Linked DNA regions of Drosophila melanogaster. The protein of the gene in region 2 interacts with the protein of the main gene of each other region in a pairwise test. Each region holds a gene or a part of one and is shown on either strand. Other genes may lie near its edges.

Evidence for each region.
Region 1: the proteins of CG32235 (region 2) and CG31848 interact in a two-hybrid assay, tested with the Drosophila melanogaster proteins (one large-scale study listed by BioGRID).

Annotation. Positions count from the first base shown.
Region 1 is NT_033779.5:13,259,574-13,271,305, forward strand, and holds CG31848 (uncharacterized protein), read right to left. Parts: upstream 6,304-11,732; 5' UTR 6,212-6,303; coding exon 6,209-6,211; intron 6,144-6,208; coding exon 5,508-6,143; 3' UTR 5,423-5,507; downstream 1-5,422. Other genes in the region: CG31730 (uncharacterized protein), read right to left, coding at 1-62; CG44085 (uncharacterized protein), read left to right, coding at 8,158-8,399, 11,723-11,732.
Region 2 is NT_037436.4:4,850,798-4,862,227, forward strand, and holds CG32235 (uncharacterized protein), read right to left. Parts: upstream 9,674-11,430; 5' UTR 9,474-9,673; intron 9,410-9,473; 5' UTR 9,302-9,409; coding exon 9,050-9,301; 3' UTR 9,013-9,049; downstream 1-9,012. Other genes in the region: CG32237 (uncharacterized protein), read right to left, coding at 1-1,525, 1,602-1,604; Dnah3 (dynein, axonemal, heavy chain 3), read left to right, coding at 10,663-10,882, 10,940-11,143.

The DNA.
Region 1 (11,732 bases), on a different chromosome or scaffold from region 2:
TCGAAAACTAGTGAATTAATTTTGAACAAATCATCGAAACGCATTTCCCGAAAGCTAGTCATCACTTACAGCAAATTTGATCATACACATTATGTAGTTTTCTATTTTTTTTTTTTTAGATTTTTTAGATCTCATAGATTGACAAACTAGTGGCCTGCTTAAATGGATATAAATCTCTTTACTGTATCCATTCATTGCCAGGGTTATTTGTTGGGGTTATAGACCACACCCGATAAACATAATCAAGCCGGACAGTCGAAAATCTTCGCGCACAAGAATCGAAAATTATTTCTCGATCTTCTTCTAATGAGGTTAATGTTCGAGGCACTCGTTGACTCAGCGCCCTGTGCGCTTTTCAAAGATCTATTTATACGATTTAATGGCGCATTTTGCACAAAAATAAATAAAAGTACAAACCGATATTTGTCTTTATACTATGTGTATGCCAACATTTATATGTAAGCACACATTATCTTGGTAAGGAGCCGGATTTCTATTTATAATCGAGAGGCATCATCCAAGTTTGCTATGCTTTTCCATTTCCACAGGACAGGTGGTCCAGTCAGCAACTTGTAAATGTAAAATGCTAGCGCTAAAAATGAAAATCGTCTAAACGTCTGATGAAAAATGATTTGCTAATTCCCCAGCATCGCTCTTTTTCCCTTCTTTAGAAGACATACATAAATTTACATATACACACTGACTGTTTTTTTAGCGGCCGTTTTGTGTTATTTATTTTCCAAGCATATGTGATTTATAATGATTTATCATAAGATTTGGCCAGAAGGCGCGACCAAAACGACCAAATGGAATCATTCACATTGTGTCGGAGCACTTTTGTTTGTTTCTTTGGAGCCAACTCTTTAATGGTGGAATGCAGTTTCTTATTTTCTGCTTTACCACTCAATAAATAAAAAAAAACTATAAAATTTAAATTTCACTCAATATCTTGCCAAAACATTACAAAACTATGAACATTGAGAAATGTGTCCCAATTCGATCAATAAAAGTGCACTGCCGATCAAAATCTGAGAATCAGCCAAGTGTGAGATGTGGGAGTATCAATAATTTATTTAAGTGCATTGCGCATTAACTCGCCGATGATCGGCCCTGGGTGTAAATACATTATTAGAATTATTGTGTGGATCGGAAAAGAGGAAAACAATAAGTACGAACGTCCGCGGGCTTTCTCAACTTTTAGATTTCTTTCATTTAAATAAACTCAAAATTCACAGAATTTTCCGAGCAGACGCACTTTACACATGCTCACATGTGTACGCACACAATCGCATTGTGACCACTACAATCGCACTGATATGGACACGGACATGACCGATGGTCGAATAGAATATGTACTGAAGACGAAGGAGCATTTATTTCGAAATGTGAAATGTGCTTTTCGGCTTTTCGGCCGAGAAAATTTCGTGTGCGAATTCAGTGCGACTTGGGCTGCTAACTTGAACGCGTTGCAAACGAGAAAACCATCCGAAATAAAGAAATTTTCAACTAGAAACTAACACATAGATATATCTATACCATCTAGCTGGGCTGTCTATATATACGAATATATATAGATATAGATACGAGTATTTTCTCTAGCAAAAGTGAGCAATGCGTCGTGCCGCGTTTTATAAATAGCAAATTACAAAATATCGAAACGAACGTTGGTGAAAAGGGTTTCATAGTTTTAAAAACAGTGCAAAACCCTAAGTTCTTAGCGAAACTAACTTATCTGTATATATGAAAATCAACACGATATTGAACACAATATAGTATATGTATATGTATATAATTGTGGGAAAAACTATTTCCGAGTGGATCGCTTGTGTCCGTGCCGCAAATTATATAAGAACGCGTGATTTTTGATGCAAAATAATTTTCGGCTTAATATTCATAATTTAATAATAATTTTCCATAAATTTTTCAGTGTTTTTGTGTGCATAGGCGTCGTTTGCAAAATCTTTTCGTAGAACTTGCGTGCGTTTTGGTGAAAACCAACGCCTACGACCAAATCTAAATATCGCGATTTCTTCCGACTGGCGGCTGTGTGTAGGCGGTGTGTAAAAGTGTTCTGAAGTTGAACTTGAAATACATAAAAAGCGGCTAAAATGAGTTCTGGGTAAGAACAAAAACGTGGTGCAAATTAAAGTTACTTTAGTGCAACAGTAATCTTTTAAGCAAAAAGAAACTGTCTAATAGTCATAAGCTATTTTAAACTACACCCGATTTCTACCGGGGAAAGTCAAAAAAAAAGAACAAAACATAAAACAGATGTACTTAAAACAGAATTTAATATATGGCCGCTGACTTCGTAATACTGCGAAAAAAAAATAGTTCAATCGAAAGTTTCATAATTTTTCTACTGCTGACTATTTCAATAGAACGGCAAAACAAGGGAAAGATTATGTAGAATTATGAAAAATATTTTAAAACGCTTTTATTGGCTTGTGTTCTTTTAAAAGTTGGCTTTATGAGAAGTCTTTTTAGGCACTTTATGCGTCTTTTGCTCACCACTATTATTCTGACCACAGCTGTATGGGCCTATACGTATATATCTATAGTCTGAACATCTTTATGATCTCCGCTACAATTAAGGCTCACACATGAGTTTTTTGAAGGCCATCGATGGCCCACGCCCACACTAGAATCTCTTTATTATTTTTTTTTTTTTGGCTAGTCCCATGTTGCACGCGCTTTTTGGCAGGCGACACTTTCGGTGTTTTCCCCTGCTTTCCTAAGCGAATTAATTAATTAAATTTCCCATTTTTCAACAACATCTCGCTGGTGCACAGTTTTGTGTCTTAGACACGGCCAGCAGCTGTCTTTTGGCTTTGTCTAGAAGCAATTGGCACACGTGTTGGGTATTTAGACGGCTGACGGCATTCACCGGAAGTTTCCTTCGAAGCCACGCACATCATAAAACACATTCTCAAGAGCCTTTCACAGCAAAAAAGCCAGGAATTTGGCATAAAATGCATTTGTTTTATTTATTTTTTTCCCGTTCCTCAGACAGCACATTTTTTTTGCATTTCGCCGTTGACGTTGATGTGTGGCGCATAAATTTTCAGCTCCCACGGAAATCTGCGATAATATATTGACAAAATTGGGTCAAGCATTAGAAGAAAAAAATAAGAAGCACTAGGACCTCTATTCGATATTAAATTTCAGATTTTCATAATTTTCATTGTTTATATTCTACTTTCTGAAGTTTAGACAAATTCCATCGTCAAACTTTCGGCAAAGCATCAAGTATACGCCACGTTTAACATATAAATGAAATATATATCTTGTAATATCTTGACTATAGGTACTTACAAAATTTACGTGTGAACTTGGGACAAATATTGACCATGTACATGGTTTTAAAGTGTTAATGTTTATTTTAGCTTAAATTATTATTCGCATTTTAATGCCCGAGACTGTGATGCATTGCCGAACATGACTTTGATTTTTGTCAACGACAATTATTTTCACACTTCTTTGTCGGTTTATTTTTCACTTTTGTTGATTGCGTAAATCAGGTGTGAGTTTATTTATTTTATAAATTTTTGCATTTGTAAAATACGTAAACAGATTTCTTGTCCCAAGTTCAAGTTGGTCGCAGTTGACCGTGAAATTTGTATGCGAAATAGGGTACTAAACTCAAAGGAAGATTCCCAAGTGGATAAGGCACAAGATATAAAGCCACACCCAGATGACAGTTCAACAGCATTGGGAATTGATTATTGGACAGCGATGTGAATGTACCTAGATCGTTCCCATGATAGTTGATTCAATGATTCACTTTGCCTTTATGACTTCTCTTCAGCAATACACTCTGAATTAAAATTAATTAAGGGAAAGTTCACAATTAATTCGCAGTCAAACGTAAAGAACAATTTCTGCAATTTAATTATTTATTGAATTATGCTTACGTTTAAATTTACATTTTGTTTTGGGGAATTTTATAAGAACTATTGCTCAGATTTTTCCATGATTTTTACTATTTATTTGTTTTCCCGGAAAATGGCTTTGCTGTGCGTGATTTATTCCTTCACACTTTCTCCACAAACAAATATCGAATTTTCATGGCGCGGCTATATTTAATTTTTTTTTTTCATTTTTTACAAATCAATAACATGGCAATTTTTCAACCAGCACCAAATTCGAGCTGCAGGAAAAAAGTTAAAAATCGAAAAAAAAGGCGCTGGCGGGATTTGGTTGCCTATCTGACCAAAAACGACCGACGGTGAATGACGACATGTGGTCATGGTAGGAAAAATACACAGAAATTCGCGTTTGTATGCGCATATATTCCGCAAGGCAACTGAATGAGAAATATTACCGCCATCGATTGTGCAACGGGCTTTTGGGGCAGAGTCTGCGTTTTCGCTTTCACCTGGGTTCGCTGACGTTGACCCAGGCCAGATTAATATAAATAATTGCGAGTACCGACAAGAGCCAGACCCACTCCCAATCCCAATCCCAATCCCAATCGCAAACCCAACGGCTCCCTGTCTGATGTGCTCATGTCATGCAATCAACGCAGCTAAATGACAAATGCAAAACGAGTTGCACACTCAAGTGGCCGTAGAAAGTGATGAATGGCTTCCCTGATTGCGTTTGTTTTTCTTTGATTTTTGTTTTTTTTTTTCGTACGTAAAACTTTTTTCGCCGCCGTTCAGATAATTTTTCAAGGTCAGATACAACAAAAAAAAAGCCAGAAATATTATAGTTTTATACACGCTTGTGTCTTCTGGGCTGTGGGTGTTGTTGGTGAAACGCTAATTTTTATTGGATTATCCATCTTTGTTTTTCCTTTTACTTTTCCGTGAGAGATCGTTTCGTATTTAATGGGGTATAAATTTTCTTTCGTTTTATGTTTGCAAAATTAAGTTTCTTATAAATAGCATCGCATCTGTGTGTTTGTAGGTGTTTATGTTTCTTGCGTTTCTTTAATTTCTATATAGTTTCGGATAATTTATGAGATTAACCGCTAGACCTAAAGGCGTTGATCTAAGCATTTGCTTATGTTTTATACTTTGCTAAAAAATACATTTATTTTAATGTTTAGCTATATTGTTTATAAAATCGTTTTAAAAAGCTATTGCATTTAAGAACCTACTGCAACTAAGTGGGTCACAAAATGAAACGAAAGTGAAAAGAGAAAATCAAACGAAATTGTTTTTTTCAAAAAGAGCACAGCAACATTTAACACATAATTAAAAATCCCATTCTTCACGGTCAGAAGAAATGACTCTAGTATTTTCCGCAATCAGAGGCCTGTGGCTAACTAATTAGATGGCCCCCATGATTGATGTCTGCACAAAACCAAATATCTCTGTCTGACCCAGTTTCTGGCCAGCCAAAGCAGAAATATTGAATGAATAGGGAAACCAATTTCACTGACAGTTCTTTGAGGAACGAATATTATTGACAGCCACTCGAATTTCAAGTGTGCGTCAATTGGCGGCGCAGCACTTAAGTGTTTATTGAACCAAATGAGTCACTCGTCCGGACACCTTTTGCTAGGCGTCCACTTGGAAGGGATCGGGCTCGCCGTGTAGCACGATCTTGACGAAGATCCTACGCTGCTCTCCGGAGAGGCACAGCTCCCGAATGTCGGTGGCCGTGTACAGGAGGTAGTCCGTGTTGCAATACAGCCGATTCTGACTATCCATCAATGGACTGTCCAGGGAATTGCGCAGGCAACGCCATCCGCGCTTCTCGTGGGCATGGAATCCGTCGAGGAGTGTTACATTGGCACTCACCAGACTGGAGGGCACAGCACTCACCAGGTATAAGATGTAGGCCTGCTCGGTGTTCAGAATAGGAGGGCTCACATAGAGCATCAGGATAATGGGCAGATGGTGGACAATCTGCAGATCCGAAGTAACAGCACAACTAAGACCCGGCTTTGGGGCTCCCTCATAGGCGATGACTCCAATCGAATGATTTCGACCCGGTGTCAATTTATCAATATCCACTTCGTACTGCTTGGGCACGTCCTCAGCAATCTCGATCATCGAGTCCTGCGGACTGTGCCGCATCATCAGATGGGCCAGCATCTCGAGTGGCGACATCTGCGCCTGGCAATTGGTCACTGGACACATAGCCGGAATTCCATAGAGGGCCTCCAGATTCAAATTGGCGAATCGTTGGTACTTGGGGTTGAGATTTTATGGAACGGTCAGTTCACGCGGCTTTTCTTGCATTTGTTTTAACTTACCATAGTTTCTGAACTGGATAAATGGTATTTCTCCAAGTATTCGTTAAGAAATTAAACTGAGAAATCTGGTAATGTCTATGAAATGTCAGTGACTTGAAAGGAAACGCTTGGCTAATCATATTTCCTAAAAAGTGACTTTAGCTTTTAAGGGAATTTATGGAGTTGATTATATTATCCAATACTAAAAATACATTCATTATATACTTATTTACAGTCAACTGCTCGATATTCCAAAATGTCGATATGGTTCAGTTAAATTATTAAAGCTACACAAAAATACTTTTCTTGCTCATGGTTAAAACTATATAATGGGATCAAATGAAAGTAGATGACCAGAACTATCCACAATAATCGTTTGCCGATGTTGTCTCTTGACTTTCCCCTTCTTTGTGGCATTTTAAGTTTTTTACTTCGTACAAATTGTGGATGTCGAGCGACAAAAGAAAATGATTTTAGCCCAGTCATTCCGCGTTTTAAATTCCTTAACGCTTTCTTGCCAATTATTATTTAACTGTGCACAAAGCAGTCGCAAAAAATGAAAATAAGACTGAAAGAAAAAAACAGCAGAAAAGATAACATCTTATTTGTCTGTCAAGGCTAGTGGGCCACATTTCCGCAGATGATTGTTCAAATGAGTTAATTAGAGCAAGCCGAGTGCGCAGATTCGATAAAGAAATCCCCCGAACTAAAGATAATGCCGAAGTGGGAGATACCCGTTCTTTCGATTTGGCTTAATCGTGAAAAGCGACAGAAGTAATAAGCAGACGACATGACAGTAGAGTGAAAACAATTAGTAGCACGATAAGAGATGCAGATACAGCCGAAAGATACCAGATACAGATAAACGAAAGCGTCGCAAAGTCTTTTTGGCGTTTAGCTGGAAATTTGTCGCCATCATCGAACTGCATTGACAGACAAATAAATTGCTATACAGTCCGCGTGCCAGTCGGCCGTTTGTCAAGCGATCGATTTTCCTTTTGCGGCACCACCAATACCATCAAAGCGACTGGAAATGTATCTGCAACAAGTTGCCGAACAAGCCAACTCAGATGTGCCGTCCAACCTCCGGCGAACCGAACCCGACTTCAATGCGTCTCGAGAGTCCGCTGCGATCAGTCGCCCAGTGCGCTCCTCAGATACAGATAAAAAAAACGAACCTACGAGATACTTTTTGTGCGCAGCGCGTGTGTTTTCAATTTAATAATTAGTGAGTGAGTGAGTGATTAAAGTCGGATACTAACAGAAAGGCCGGGCAAATGCCATCTTAATTCGGAGCAACTTTAGCTCATGCCTAAAAATAATTCAACTGCGTAAGCGTATCTCTGCGAGACGGAAAACGGCTGGTCCACATAGTAGTGATTCTGTTATAGGTTCCCCCAAAAATTTCAGTGATTCTTCTCCGCCGATGTGAGTCAGCAGACCATTTGTCGGCTGCCCCTTGTCAAAAAAGGTTAAATTCAATTCCCACAATCGATGGTTGAGTCATTCGACCACCTAGGCTCCAATACAGCACCTTTGTTTGCATGTCCCCTGATCGGCCAAATGTAAATCGATTGTACAACCCATTGTACTTGGCTGCTTGAATTGTAACTCTTTGTTCTGCGCACATTTACTGATAAGCGCACTTGCAACCTGGCAAATGGGTTGCAAATATTTTCATTTCAATTGTTTAACTTCTAAAGCGATTCAAAACAGATCTGGACAGCAAAGAAAGCAGAAGGAACTACGGCGTAGCCCTAATAGTTTTATATATGATGTGGAAAAAATTTGCTTTGGGCTTTCTTTAAACCCACTTGCTTGTACCCATTCGCAGATAGAGGTCCGCTTTAAAGATAGTCGACCCACTTTCGTGCTATGCAAGTGTAAAAGCAAAATTCAGATAAAATAGTGTACAACAAAAATAAATTAGTATAAAAGTATTAAAACAAGTAAACAAGAGTCCGCGAGCAATGGCCACCTCAACGCTGCAATCTCCGTCGCCGTCGCCATCAAACGCCTCCGTGTCATCCAAGAATCCGCAGCTGAAGCGCGTAGTGTACTCCAAATATCGGGAACTACTTGGTTCTTATAATGATAAGGCCAATGCCATCATCGACACTCTGCCCGCATATATGGTTCGTCAGGATCGCGGATTTCAGTTGTCGGAGCTGCCCGTGAACGGGGATGCCAATCGCAACGGCCTGGAATTGTCGTAAGTCCGCTACGAGTATATCTATATATTTGTATTTATATAAATATATAGCTAAATTTTCTAAAGCTAAAATGCCAGAGCAAGAGCAATTTCCAAGTAAATATTTATCGCTAGATTAGCTCAACTGCGGAATGTGGGCGGCTGGAGGGAGCACCCTGTACGAACGATCTTCCGATCTCCGACTTCAGAGCCAAGCTATTTATAGCCAAGACGGGCGGACAATGACTATCATTATGTCATGTTGCATGTGGCAGCTTTCAAGTTCTTACTTCTTCTTCTACTTCTGCTGGCTGCCCTTGATCTTGAAATATGCGCGGCCAGCTGCAACTGCAGATTCTTCTAGGCAACTAGTTTGCTTTTACTAGAGGGTAGTAGGGGATATGATGGAACTGGACTAAAAAGAATCAAAAATATAAATTCAATAAATAAATTGAATAAATTAAACGTTATATTAAATGTATGATCACATAATGCACAATATATACATAATAATATTAATCCAAATAACACAATAAGCTCTCGTATAAACATCTCATAAACAAAATATGGCTATATAAGGGATACCAACTAGTTCATCAATCCGGTTTCCAGTGCTTTCCAGAAGACATCACCCGTATCTTGTGGATCCACCCGGTTGCCAGTTAGTTGCAAATGCCTTTAGATACATTTCTGCACGCTCATTTGCATGCGAAAAGGCAAAATAAAAGTCAAGCACACAACAACAAATTAGAAAAGTGAAAATGCGAATTGCACAGATGTTTTTCTATCATTTAAATTTGAAATTGTGATTGCTTGTGTTATTATTGCATGTTTTTAACTCACGCATGAACAGCTGCGACTATTTTACATGTATTTTTGGCAAATCATAAAGCCCAGTCATTAGTCGGTAAAATGGATTTACATTTATTTTTAGAAATGTATGTTTACTTAAGGCTAAGTGCATGTGCAACGCATATGCATATGATTCACAAAGAATATGTGCATGCTTGTGCCAGTAAATTAGTCATGTTGCATTATGATTATAGGCGAACTTTGTATGCCAGTTTATTGGTTATTTCTTCCCGGTTCCTTGAAACTTTTTCCTGGTGCTCTGACATTTTAATTGCCAAATCTGTCAGTGGCTAGCAAACAGTTGGTGGTCTTGTCTTGTGGTCAATTGCTTCTTATCCGCAGCCCCAAGTACCAAGTACTGACGCCATGTCCCCGCCAATTGACGTCATCAGGGGACATCTGTGATTTCAGCGCGTGTATCTTTTAGTTTTTAACGATTCTTTTGTTTTTCGAAAATTTTGGCAACGCATTTTTTAGTTCACTGTGCGTGACGATCATTGGAATTGAGAACAATGAATGGGTATTTACATTGCTTTCGTTGGTTCAGGAAATGTTTAGTGCATTAAGCTGACATTTTTCCAGGCTTGTCACGGTGTTTAATAACTTTTATAGCCCAGCCCAATATGGCAGCGGTCGAATGTTTCATACAGAAAAAACAGTTAACAAAACGGTTGTGTAAGTTGCATTTCCTATCCGGCCATAAAGCATCGATCGACCGATCGAGTCAATAAACGGGGAATAGACCGATCTGAACTGAACGACCTCACAATTTTGGGCACGCCTCGACAATTATGGAAGCTGTTGATGCTATTAATTCGCACATAATCAATGGCAAGTTCAACAAAAAGTTGATGCCCAACCTGACTGGGCATATGTATCCATAGTTTATTATATCCACCATGCCATGTCTATAAGGAGCTGACAGCATTTCTTCGACCATCCCAAATATGGGAATAATTAAAGATTTGTTTTGTTGCGACTCGATTCGATTTAAATACGATTTTCTGTCACTAACCGCAGGGAGTTACGTCATTTGCATTTGACTTTGATGCACGCGCTCCAATTTGCATGTAAGCCAGTTGTGGGTGAGTTTCGCAACCGTTTTCCCACACAACTTGGCCTTCGCATTTGCGGTTTCCAGAGTAGGGTGCCTTGTTTACTTAGTTTTATTTTCTTAATTATTTGGCGAGACCGCAGAGTTTTGGCCGTGTCAACTTTATGGAACAACTGCCAGGCAGACCTGATCACCTGTTCCTGTTCGCCTGACCCACTTGGATGCGTATCATCCACGCACACCAAGCTCATGTCAAACGGGCCTGACAACTTTTCAGAACCCGATCCCGAACTCCATCACTTTCTTTCGGCATAAACGGGCTTTCTGGTGGAGCCAACGTTAACGAGAACGTATATTGTCGCCGAACCTCTTCGATTTTCGCTTTTAATTAGCGAATTGTTAACGTTTAACGCATTTAAAATAAGCAAATTATGCGGAGAAAATTCGACGTTGACTGGGAAGTGGGATGCTCGTACATGAAGACATATTCAACGGGACTGAGAAAGTGCAAATGGGAAATTTTCACAAGCCTAAATAGGCATTAAATCAACTAATCTTTACAAACATTATTTTACGTAGATACTCTGAGGGAAGCCAGAAATCTTAGATCAGCTAGATAGATTAACTATTAAGTCTTTAATTCCCCATTACTCATGTTATGTCTTACAAATTTATTACAATGAAACTAATGCAGCCAATTTCTTCAATAGACCTTCTTATAGTCATGATACCACAATAACTTCTCACTTTCAACCTTTCAAATTTGGCACTTCATCGGACGTCTCACCTTTTATGGTCGGTCGTCCGTAACAACTTGAACTCACTTTCCCCCTTTTGATCGTTAAAAAAATCAAAACATTGGCTCGTTGAACTATCGATGATCGACTAATGAGTCGCAGCAGCTGCGAAGAAAGGAAAACAATACAAATGGGTGCTTTTGCCGGCGACCAAGAGCGAAATAATAAATTAGAAAAGATTTAACAAAAATTATGATAAATAGCCCATGCAAATTGGAGAGGAAGTCAGATTAACATGACAGCTGGGTTGCGAAAAAAATAATACCAACGTTAACTAAAAGATTAAAGTATTGTTAATGCATATACCTGTTTGAAAGCCTTTGCATTGTATTAATAATAATTATCATAATCCAACGAACTTATCGTTATCATGATATCTTTATCTTTATCTTTATTTCATCTTTACTTTTCCTGTTTAATAATTAATAAGATTATACTTACACATATTGAACAGATTTTTAGGATTTTCAGTAGCTCATCTTATACAGAAACAACGATAATCTTGAATGAAATTCGGAAATATTTAAATTAAATGATTTAATGATATATATATTGTCTAAGTACTGGTTAAACAAAATATTATTCTTCTTTGGTTGAATTATTAAGTGGTTTACAGAGATTTGAACTTTGTTTTCCTGCAGGTATGGACAG
Region 2 (11,430 bases):
TGTACTGGTATCCATCGGCGGCGAGGACAGCGGAGTCCTGGCTAGCTTCCTCAACTGGAACCTCCTCAACTGGGGCATCAGCAACAACCTCCTCAGTGGGTGGCAGGTATTCGTTGGCGATCTCAGAAACATCACGACGCTGGCGGTACTTCAGGCGACGGACAGTCTTGTACTTGTATCCATCGGCGGCGAGGACGGCGGAGTCCTGGCTAGCTTCCTCAACTGGAACCTCCTCAACTGGGGCATCAGCAACAACCTCCTCAGTGGGTGGCAGGTATTCGTTGGCGATCTCAGAAACATCACGACGCTGGCGGTACTTCAGGCGACGGACAGTCTTGTACTGGTATCCATCGGCGGCAAGGACAGCGGAGTCCTGGCTAGCTTCCTCAACTGGAACCTCCTCAACTGGGGCATCAGCAACAACCTCCTCAGTGGGTGGCAGGTATTCGTTGGCGATCTCAGAAACATCACGACGCTGGCGGTACTTCAGGCGACGGACAGTCTTGTACTTGTATCCATCGGCGGCGAGGACGGCGGAGTCCTGGCTAGCTTCCTCAACTGGAACCTCCTCAACTGGGGCATCAGCAACAACCTCCTCAGTGGGTGGCAGGTATTCGTTGGCGATCTCAGAAACATCACGTCGCTGGCGGTACTTCAGGCGACGGACAGTCTTGTACTGGTATCCATCGGCGGCAAGGACAGCGGAGTCCTGGCTGGCTTCCTCAACAGGAGCTTCCTCAATGGGGGCTTCGGTGGCGGCATCCTCAGTGGGTGGCAGGTATTCGTTGGCGATCTCAGAAACATCACGACGCTGGCGGTACTTCAGGCGACGGACAGTCTTGTACTTGTATCCATCGGCGGCGAGGACGGCGGAGTCCTGGCTAGCTTCCTCAACTGGAACCTCCTCAACTGGGGTATCAGCAACAACCTCCTCAGTGGGTGGCAGGTATTCGTTGGCGATCTCAGAAACATCACGACGCTGGCGGTACTTCAGGCGACGGACAGTCTTGTACTTGTATCCATCGGCGGCGAGGACGGCGGAGTCCTGGCTAGCTTCCTCAACTGGAACCTCCTCAACTGGGGCATCAGCAACAACCTCCTCAGTGGGTGGCAGGTATTCGTTGGCGATATCAGAAACATCACGACGCTGGCGGTACTTCAGGCGACGGACAGTCTTGTACTGGTATCCATCGGCGGCAAGGACAGCGGAGTCCTGGCTAGCTTCCTCAACTGGAACCTCCTCAACTGGGGCATCAGCAACAACCTCCTCAGTGGGTGGCAGGTATTCGTTAGCGATTTCGGAAACATCACGACGTTGACGGAGCTTCAATCGGCGCACGGTCTTGTAGCGGTATCCATCATCTCCCAGGGCGGCGGGGTCTTGGGCCAGCTCTGCTCCAACTTCCTCCGCCGGCGGGATGTACTCGTTCACGATCTCGGAGACGTCACGACGGTGCCTGGCTTGTTCGACAGGAATCACTGCAGCCGTCGCGGCGGCAATAAAGATGCAGGCTAAGAAAAGTTTCTGCAATGTGAGTGTATATAAAGTGTTAGGTTAGATAATCCTGGAGGGAAGGTATCCTTGCTGCTGGAATATTCACCATCTTGCTATAGATCTCCAAGCTAATTGCTTTGACGATGGAATCTATGGGTCGAATGATTAATCGTCGCAATTTGTCCGCATATTTATACGCTCCAATGTTTGCCAGCTTCCATTCAAACAATGATCGACGCTCTGTTTGCCGGCAAACAGCGGCGGAAACCAAAACCGAAATCGAAACCGACTCCGAATCGGTAACAAAGCAATGAATTTGGCCAAAGACCCAACATGCGCCACTCGAGCCCTCAAGTGCCCCCGTCACCGTCTCCCAGCTTCGTCTTCACGTGGAGATTAAGCCCAGCTGGGAGCCGGTTCGCTTACAGAGCACAGTGGGTAAAATAAACCAAAGTGTTTGATAAACAACTATCCAATTAGATAAAATTTAAATATTATATATTATAGATGCTTTAGTTATCTATATAATGTAGAAATGTTATAATCCCAAACTCCCTTTTTGGAAACATTGAATCCAAAAGGATTTAGACATAACAGAAAGCAAAGAAAAATGTATTTTATACCACAACCAACATGAATAACATGTATCCCATAGTGGATAGGAGTTGCCCAAAGATTGCCCAGTGCGGAACTAAATGCTCTGCGTTTCGCTTTCGTTTGTCGTTCGCCACTTGGATCGAATTCGATGGCTATTGCTTTGGCTTAAGATACAGCTTCACGGTCAAGAGCGAGCATCGGTGCTCTTAACAAGATCTAATGCAAAATCACAATGGTTTTCCATGGTGTTCACTTTAATGGCAGCATACGCATACGTATTTATTAATTTATTTCGAACGTTATTAATAGTTTCGAACGTTAATTTCTCAAGTGGCTATCGGTAATTTGCGTACTACTCGGTTTTGGAGTTCAACGAACCGCTCAAGATTGATGGTTGGCAAAAGGTCGCACGGGCAGCACGACGTATTTGTTTAATGGGTTTCGCTGATAAGTTTTCGAATTGGTTTTAATTGGTTCCGTTTTGTGAATCATATAGGATTTAAATTTATTTTAATTGGACTGTGGGTTGTTGGAAGTTGCATTGTCAACGGTTTAAATCACATGTAAATTACGTTTTATTTTTTTAGCTTGGAGTAATATGTAGCATTTATAAATTTTTAGAGTATAGTCTTTAGCTTAATGGCTAATAGTGCAATGGTCGAATTTCATGGTCCGTAGAGCTGTTATAATAAACTGTGTATCCTGCGACCCGCATAACGTTAACTGCTCCTTGCGACCAGGATATCAAAGATTTCGCCGAAAATATGCTGCACGCGAAAAGGACGAAGACGAGAAAACAGCGGAGCAGCTTACAAGTTGGGAGCATGTTATGCGCTGCCGAAAAACTTTGGCTATGAAATTCATAAACTTGGCAAAACAAGCTTGCTGGCGGCAGGAAAGGGGCGAGCAGGAGTTACCAGGCGGAGGACTCCAAGTTGGCTGGGGAAACTTTTGCACAAATCATGCATATGATGTTGGAGGCACTTTCACTTTGGTGCTCCCGAGGGTCTAACGAATATTTCCTCCCCGTTCCGGACCGCCCGACCCCGCGGCCTTGGACTAATTAAAGAGACAAAACTGCGTAAGTTTTTCGGTTTTTCAAGAGTCATCGTCATCGTCATATAGCCATCTTGAGTTTGTGCCCCGAAATGTGTGTCAAGTGGCAGCGAGTGCAAAACAAAGCAAATGGGGTGTGCAATCTGCTGTAAACAACCATAAATTTTGCCTGCCTTGGGTTTCTGACTTCGTCTGGAGTTGCTAGGGGAACTATCGCCCTCATAAAGGGGCCAAAAAAAATGAATGAAACACTCCCGAATCCGGACAACGGCGTCCTTATCGCAATCACTCACATCGCCACTTGTGAAATCGTGGCCGACCACCGAGATGCGGATGCAAGTACAGTCAAGCTACCATAAGTTGATCTTTCCCAACTTTTAATCAAAGTATCAACTATCAACTATTTCTCTTGTTATGCTATCACATTTCAAAAGAAAGACACCCTTAAAAATTATACCTCAATTTTAAAATGTGGCAGATGGTGGTTCAAGTTAAGGGAGCTAAACTGTTTATCTTTTGGCGGCTTGGTTTCGAACCAAAAGTATGAAGTGAAGCATGAACATCCTATGACACATTATAATATGTATAAACGATGTTTTATGACAATCAATTTGTTTCAATCCAATAGACACACCCGCCGCATGTGCCAGAGTTTGTGTTGTGCTCTCATTTATGTGATTATTTGATTTGTGTGTTGGACGTTGATATTCGCACACAAAACAGATTCGCAACCAGAATCAGAATCAGAGCCTGGAGCTCTGGCATAACGAATTTTATGAACTAGAAAGTATCATTAATTTAATACGCATTCGCATACGCAAACAAGCCGATGATACGGATGGGCATTCGAGGGTTTTTGGGGTATGGGACTGGAAGCAGGAACGGGATCCGTTGGCCCTTAGTTATGCTCTTCTGATCATTGTAATGTAAATACGGCCAGAACTCCGGCCGCGTGCAATCATAAATAAACATTCGACACAAACACAATAAATGTCAAAAAGTTTCGCCATTATCCGTTCGCCAGTTAATGTCCTTGTCGCCGCTGTTGTCATCGTCGTCATCGCGTCGTTGTCGTTGTCCTTGTCGTTCTCGTCTTGAAAGCGAACGCAGCGCTTTATTATTTTAATGATTTCGCAGTGCCGGTTCCACTGTCCGTGCCTTCGTCCTGTCAGCACTCCGGCATGTCCTGGAACTCCTCCTCTCCTGTCCTGACCCCTCCTGTGCTCTCCAGTCCCGTGGCATTGTGTTTACATTTGTAATTCAATTCGCGACCGCTCCTCCAGCCCAAAATGCTCCCAGCTCATAGCTCCATCTCCATCTCGGCGTCCGCTTGTTATTATTTTACATGTCGTTCGCTGGCTCACTATAATTTATTAGCAATTTGCATAATTTTCTTTTATAAGGAATTGCCTCTGTTTTCCGCTGCTTTATGCTTTTTTGCTTTTAGTGCTGACACCGCGACATCAACTCTTTTCGGCCCAATGTTATGCTAATTGCCCCGCCGAAATACCCATGGATTCTCCACCCCACTTTACGGTTATGCACGATCGTTATCAATAGACATTTTGTTGGCCCGATTATTGCCTGAATAATATGCCCACCTCTCGAAATTTGCATTCACATCTGCTCTGAACTCTGCTCAAGGCAAGGTCTCAGATCACTGGGTTAATTGGTTAAAGACAGCTGCCGTTTATGGTTCTTATACAGGGTCAGGGTATTCTCAAAAATCGGAAAGGAAAAAGTTTACTTTTGAAGTTTGCAAAATAATCGGTAATTGGTAATGTTATAGAACGCCTAAGAAGTAAATACTACTTTTGTATAGTTGATTATATCTTTAACCAGCTAATTTCCCTTATTTGTTTAATGAAACTGGCACAGACAACACAATGCAAGCCGGGAACAAAAGTATCTATATTTTCTCTTTCTAACTGCTCCAGCAATTGCTTTTATTTTTCCCGTTGTTTTGCTCCTTTAACACAGCTAAACTTTTGCAGCATAAACAATTAAAAATTAATTTAAAAAACTTTTGGCCAAAGATAAGCAGAGGATGACGGTGAGCGAGAGGAATCGAGGAATCAGCAGTTAGCTCATTAAACCCGCCACATGGTCTTGGTCTTGTGGTTCTGTTTTTGGGCCAACTCTCTCGTTGGAAAGCGTCTGCAGCATTATGCAATCTCTGGTAGCGGGGGATGCCTTGAAGTGGACCTTAAATGGGGCCGAAAGGAGAACTAAGCGAAACTATTTAAAATACCATTTGCTATGGAATCAATTGAAAACGGATGAGTTTTGTAATTAGGCGGCTCGGAGCTCACAAACACGCCCACCAACTATATAGACTCGAGCCAAGGTTATTTCATAAACACGCTCAAGTGATTCGGCAAACTTCCTAAGGGGGAGCGAAGGATGAATGGATGAAGGGGTGGCAGGCGCAGGACTTTGACCAAGCCCAATTTGATCCACAGATCCACTGTGTTTGTCCGCCTGGCTGTCTGTTTGCCCTGGCGGCAAAGGTCTCCGGGTCCACTGTTTGACTTGAAGGTATTAGAAACTAATTTGTACAGCAGCCGCAAAAGCAGGAGTAGCAGGAACAGCACTGGCAGATCCTTGGCCAAAGCTAACCAGGATACAAACAACAATTGTTTGCCTGTCCATCCATCTATCCCGGGCTTTGCTCCTCTAGTTCAGCCATCCACTTTGGTCTCGCTGTTTTCGGGCTTTCCGAAGACAATGAGTAAAAAATCCAAAGGCAAAGGCAAGCCAAATCCCCAACAATGGCAGTGGTAGCAGTACGAGCAGCCACAACAACAACAGAATGGCTAAATCATATGGCCCGGCTAAAAAGGACCACTGACAGAAAGGGACTCGTCTCGCTTTTAAGTCGCCTGCGGCTTAAATTTTCTTAAATGTTACATTGTCTCTGGCAACGACAGAGAAGCAACTCCATACCGAAAATGCCAGTCTTTTTACGGTTTAACTAAACAATCTGCTCACAAGTAAATATTTTCGGGCATATGCAAAACTTTACCATGAACCGACACCGAAACTGAGTCCTTTGGCTAAGTACATTTATCTTTAAGACTAAAAACCATAACAATTTAGTGTCGGAAATTTTGAGCTACGCATTGCAGAATTTATTCGCAGACGACACACATAGTTGGGCTTCATGGTTTATCCGGCAGAAATTCGCACAAATATTTACCCGGGTCGAAAATTTTATCGGAGAGCGCAGAAAATGCTTAGCTAAGCGAATTGTTATTCCGCTACCCTTAAAGTTGCTCGTCCGATAATTTAATTTCAAAACAAAATTTTGGCTTCCTTCCACATCAAAAAAAAAAAAAAAAAAAAAGGAACACACAGCAACATGTACATGCAAATTTTTAACCCAATTTCAAGGTTTTAGCCTAATGAATTTGACATGCTACCAAAAATGGGATTTGGACTTTATTTGAATATGTCAGACCAAAATAGTCTGATATTGCTTTCCTTACTGTGTTACAACTTCGATATTTTAACTTTTACTATCAATATTTATTGTATTATGATTTATAAGGTCAGCTGCGCTGCAAAGGCTATCAGGTATCCATATCTTTCTATCTTTGACACCGATGCGGTTTCCACTTCAATTCACTTTTTTTTTCCTCCCGCAGACGCCACTCGATCGAAATTGATGCGACATTTCGAGGATAAATCAGGAATGACTTGGCTGTATTTGTAGTGAATTTGCATTGATGATTGTTGACATTTAAAACAAATATGAATATACAGTCGGCAGATTTCAGTAGCCAATCAATTTTTTTAGCAATGCGAAATAAGAGATGCAAAAATAAGTTGCAAATTGTTATGATTAATGCGAGTGTGAGCTGGGCCGACTTTTCATTATGAGCATTAAATTTTTGCACATTTTATAATTTAATTGAATTTCGCTATATTTTTTATCGCACTTTTGCAAAGCTAATTTATGATTGCTCAATGCGGCATGTAATTGCATACAAAAGCCTTTAATGACGTCCCGTTCGCAGTATCTCTCTATCTGTATCTGCATCCGTATAAAGCGATTGTATTTCAGTCAGTTTTTTCCTTCTACCCACTTTGACATTCCATAATTATATTCATTATTAATGATAACATAAAGCAAGAGAAGAAATATTAGCAATAAAAATTGATTAAAGTTTAAGCGAACACCGATAATTAACCAACCATAAATATAGCCGTGATTTAAGCTGGCTTGCAATTCCATCTCACATGCCGCAAATCGATTGACTTCCGAGCTTGATCATCCCACCGGTGCGTGTCCTTCTTCATCTTGGAACCAATTAGCGACCGGGAATTAAGTGCTCATCAGACGTCTGTCCGGTCTTTGGTCTCCAGACCACCTTTAGCTTTGCCATCGCCAACGACATCGCCACATCGGATTTCCAACCCAAAACTCATACCCAGTCCCATTCCCGTTCCCATTTGCAGTCACGCATAATAGAGTTCACACAAATTAGTCAAACGCAGGGCAAACTTGGTCGTAAACAGAGCTGCAAATGCGTCGCAACATGTACGGTTCCGCCGGTGAAAGGACGATCCCAGACATCACCGGATCCTTGGCACTTGGCACCAGGAGGCGGAGGAGCAGCAGCAGCAGGAGCTGCCAAAGGACCAACGGACCACTGGCAATTGTAACTCCCAGTTTGGTCGCACGATTAATCGTCGTTGCAAATTGTTGGCACGTTTTCAATTGACAACAGAGTACGTTGCCTGCACGGCAGCGTCAACCCCTAATTTGCACTATGACCCCCGACCAACCCCACCCTTTCACCCAACTCCATCCATTTTCACTCATTTCCACCCCACCCCCACCGTAGGTTGCGTGTAAATCACACGGTGTTTGCTCTTGCTCCTGTTGCATCTTTTACGTGCGTCAGGATGAATTTTGCTGCCAGATATCCTTATCCTTCGCCACCCACCTCACGCCCTTGGACCCCCTGCCGCTGCCTTTCTGCGCCCCCAACCCTCACGTGTGACGGCCGTTTTAAAACGCCGACCACGACGCCTCTGTCGTTTATTTTGAATGTAATTTTTCAAGTCGCGACGTCTTCTACTGCTGCCCATTAATCACGTGGACAAAATGCGATTCGCCATGGCAGCAAACGGAAAAAAAAACACGGAATCGAGGCAAATAAACAATGGAGAATGGAGCGGGGAAAGAAAAGTGAGACTGGGCAGAAAAAAAAGGAAAACTTTGCCTTGACAAGGCAGTTCTTTAATTATACTCTATCTACTTGGGTTATATGGGGTTTTAAAGAAGTTTTACCTTAAAATTTGAATTTATTAAGAGTTAAAGTTCTTAAAGATAAAGTTGCAATGCAATATTATCATGTTCACCACTTACCACCAGCAGCAGTGATATATGCCATCTCTTACCATGATTTATTCCCTCTTCTGAGTATGAGTATGTGAATGAGCAAAGAATATCCAATTTCATACATCCTCAAACCCGAGATGCGAAGAACGACGTCCCCTGGAAGTTAAGCTTCTTAGGGTATGATTGGATTCGACTTATTTCCGTTCCGGTGGAAAAGTGTTGCATACTCGCAGGCTGGAAACGATGCTGCTCCTCCGGACTTCTGTTGCTCTGCTGCTCGTTGACTTTGTTAATAATGATGTTGTCCCTCCCCATTGTGTATTTTCAGCAATGAGGTCACGTGACTGACAGCCGTCGAATTACGGCCCTTTGTTTGGCAAAGCCCATAGACCGAACCACCAATCAGCCAAAAAAGTCAACCCACCCAGAAGAAGGCCAATGACAAACTAAATGCAATTTGATGCGTGTCATGCCCCCCTCAGGATAATGTGTTCGAAAATGCGTGGTAATCATTATTTGTGACAATTGACGAAGTCGGAATCAATTTTTTATTAGCTCTCTAATGCCAAGATCAATCCTCTAAGCCGATGCCCGGCAGTTGTGGCAGTTAATAAATATTTGTCACGCATGGCTCTGGATGCACTGCAGCTGGAAAGCCCACACCCAGGTACCTCGATCCCCGAAGGACCTGTCGGTGGCACCTGCATTGCGTTGTCCGGTGCGCTTAGGCACGTGACAGGCGGATGACCTGCATACGGGAACCTGAATCCTGCTTTTCCCGGCCTGCGTTGATGGTTTCGCATGCCTGGCTATTCCCACGACTTGTCACCTTAAAACACACACGATTTCCTTTAACTTTCGCATGTGTGGCAACCGCATTTACTGCGCTCTCAAAGCCAAAATGCGTTGTCCTGGAAGGAAGACAAAGGTGAGGTAACCGCAATTGACCATTAATCAAATTTCCAATTAATTTACCACAATTAATTGCTGCTCTATTCGCAATTCAGTCGCTCAAAACACCAATGCCACTTGAAGCGTCTTTGTTAAAGTAAATTCCTTTGGCAGCCGAAATGCAATAGGATCTCCTTGTGAAATCGGCTCATGATTATGCTGCCTCGTAGCATTATGTATGCGATTCTCCCCTTCAGCTGCAACCCTATTAGGGAGCTCCGAACACGCCGAGCCCCGGTCGAGCATTATTATTTTCCATCATTGTCAACATATCATCAGGTTCAATGACGAGTCGATGCTTCCGTTGTTCCCGGCGCTCCTGCTAGTCCTGCTCGTCCTGCTGCTCCTTTGCCAGACAGTTGGGATAATAAATATACAGAATGCCAGCGGTAGCTTCACCAGGACCAGCTTTTCTGCAGTTGCAGCGCTTTATTGAAAAATGTGTGCACAATTCGAGAAAAGCTGCCAGGTAACGCGGCCTGCTTCGTGCGCTCTGGACTACACTGAGAAAAAATCAGACAGATAAAGTATTATGTAAATACCTCATATTTTTGTTATTATTAAATGGATATATTCGAAACAAGGTAATATTTAAATTATTGTGATCCAAATTCCTGTCTTTGCATATTGTCCGAAAATGCACTTGCTTTCCAATATTCTCCCTGCAACTGTGACTGCAGTTGATGCCCTGGGAAGCCATCCCTTCGCCAGACACAAATATCAAATATTATCGAGCTGAGCGGAGGACGTTGAAAGGCGAGCATTGACGGAGTGTCGGGGTGTCTCCAGCTCCGGTAGCAGCTTTTGCAGCCGGTCCTGGTTGCCGGGGTTACACGTACGCCCCCGATTCCCGGGCTCCTGGCCCGCGGGTCCTCCGTTGCCATGGCCATCCATGCCCAATGCCTGGGCCTCGACTTTGTTTGTAAACATTTCACGTTCATCGCTGGCCCGCAAATATTTCGCTTCCACTGCTGCTGTGCAAACTTTTGCCATCCGAGCTACGGGTTTTGTTTTCCATTTTTCTAGAACGGAGAAAAGTATGCCCCGCACAGAGTGAAACAAATGAAAGCAGACTAGAAATCGTGTTTCGTTGTGTTGGCTTTGAATACGATTCGTTAACAAACCAGCATCAGCGGAAGGATCACGCGCACACCGTCCCTGAGGTTCTCCCCCTGACCAAACCAAATCATCCAAATCAATCCATGCCCTCGCCATGCAGAAGAAGGTAGCGCCAGAGCGCCGTCCATACTGTGATCCTCGGCTGCAGGATGACAAGCTGAGGAGGAAACGAACTCTCCATCTGCCCAGAGTGTCGCAGGCTCAGAAGAAGGGCGAAAAGCGCCAGCTGAACGACTGCCCCTTCTACAACCTGACTTATGGCTTTGACCAACTGCCACTGGATCCTGTCAAGGAGTTCCTGCAGGAGAAGATATGTAAGGCTCCTCTATGCCACTTTAACTTCCCACAACTAAATACCAATTTATACTTAGCTCACATGCAGACAGACAAAATAGTGGGACATTGCAATCGGGAGTTTGATTTCCACCGATACGATTTGGATAACGTGAAGGATGAGTATGATGAGTGCGATGATGACAGCTTGCAGGAGCTGCAACTGGAGGATATTATCATGCCCGAGCAGTTCGAGATGCTGCGCGATGCCAAGGATCATTTATACAACTTTGATTCCACTGGTAAGTAGGAACATTTCCGGGGGAAAGCCACAATTAAGTGGAACAACATTTGCGCATTAAACCAGGTGTGCTGGGAATGGGTAAATGCCCCAAACAAATTGCCACACATTTCGTGTTATTCAATGAGTGAGAACTTTACCGCAAAAACATAACACTTAATACTTTATTAAATGCGAAAACATGCCCCGACTGAAGGTGCTGCTTTCGCCCAACTCCCAATTCCTTCTTGGCCGCTGCTCTACCCCCTTCTGTTGCCAGCTTTCCCATTTTCCGACTCCCACAGCGCA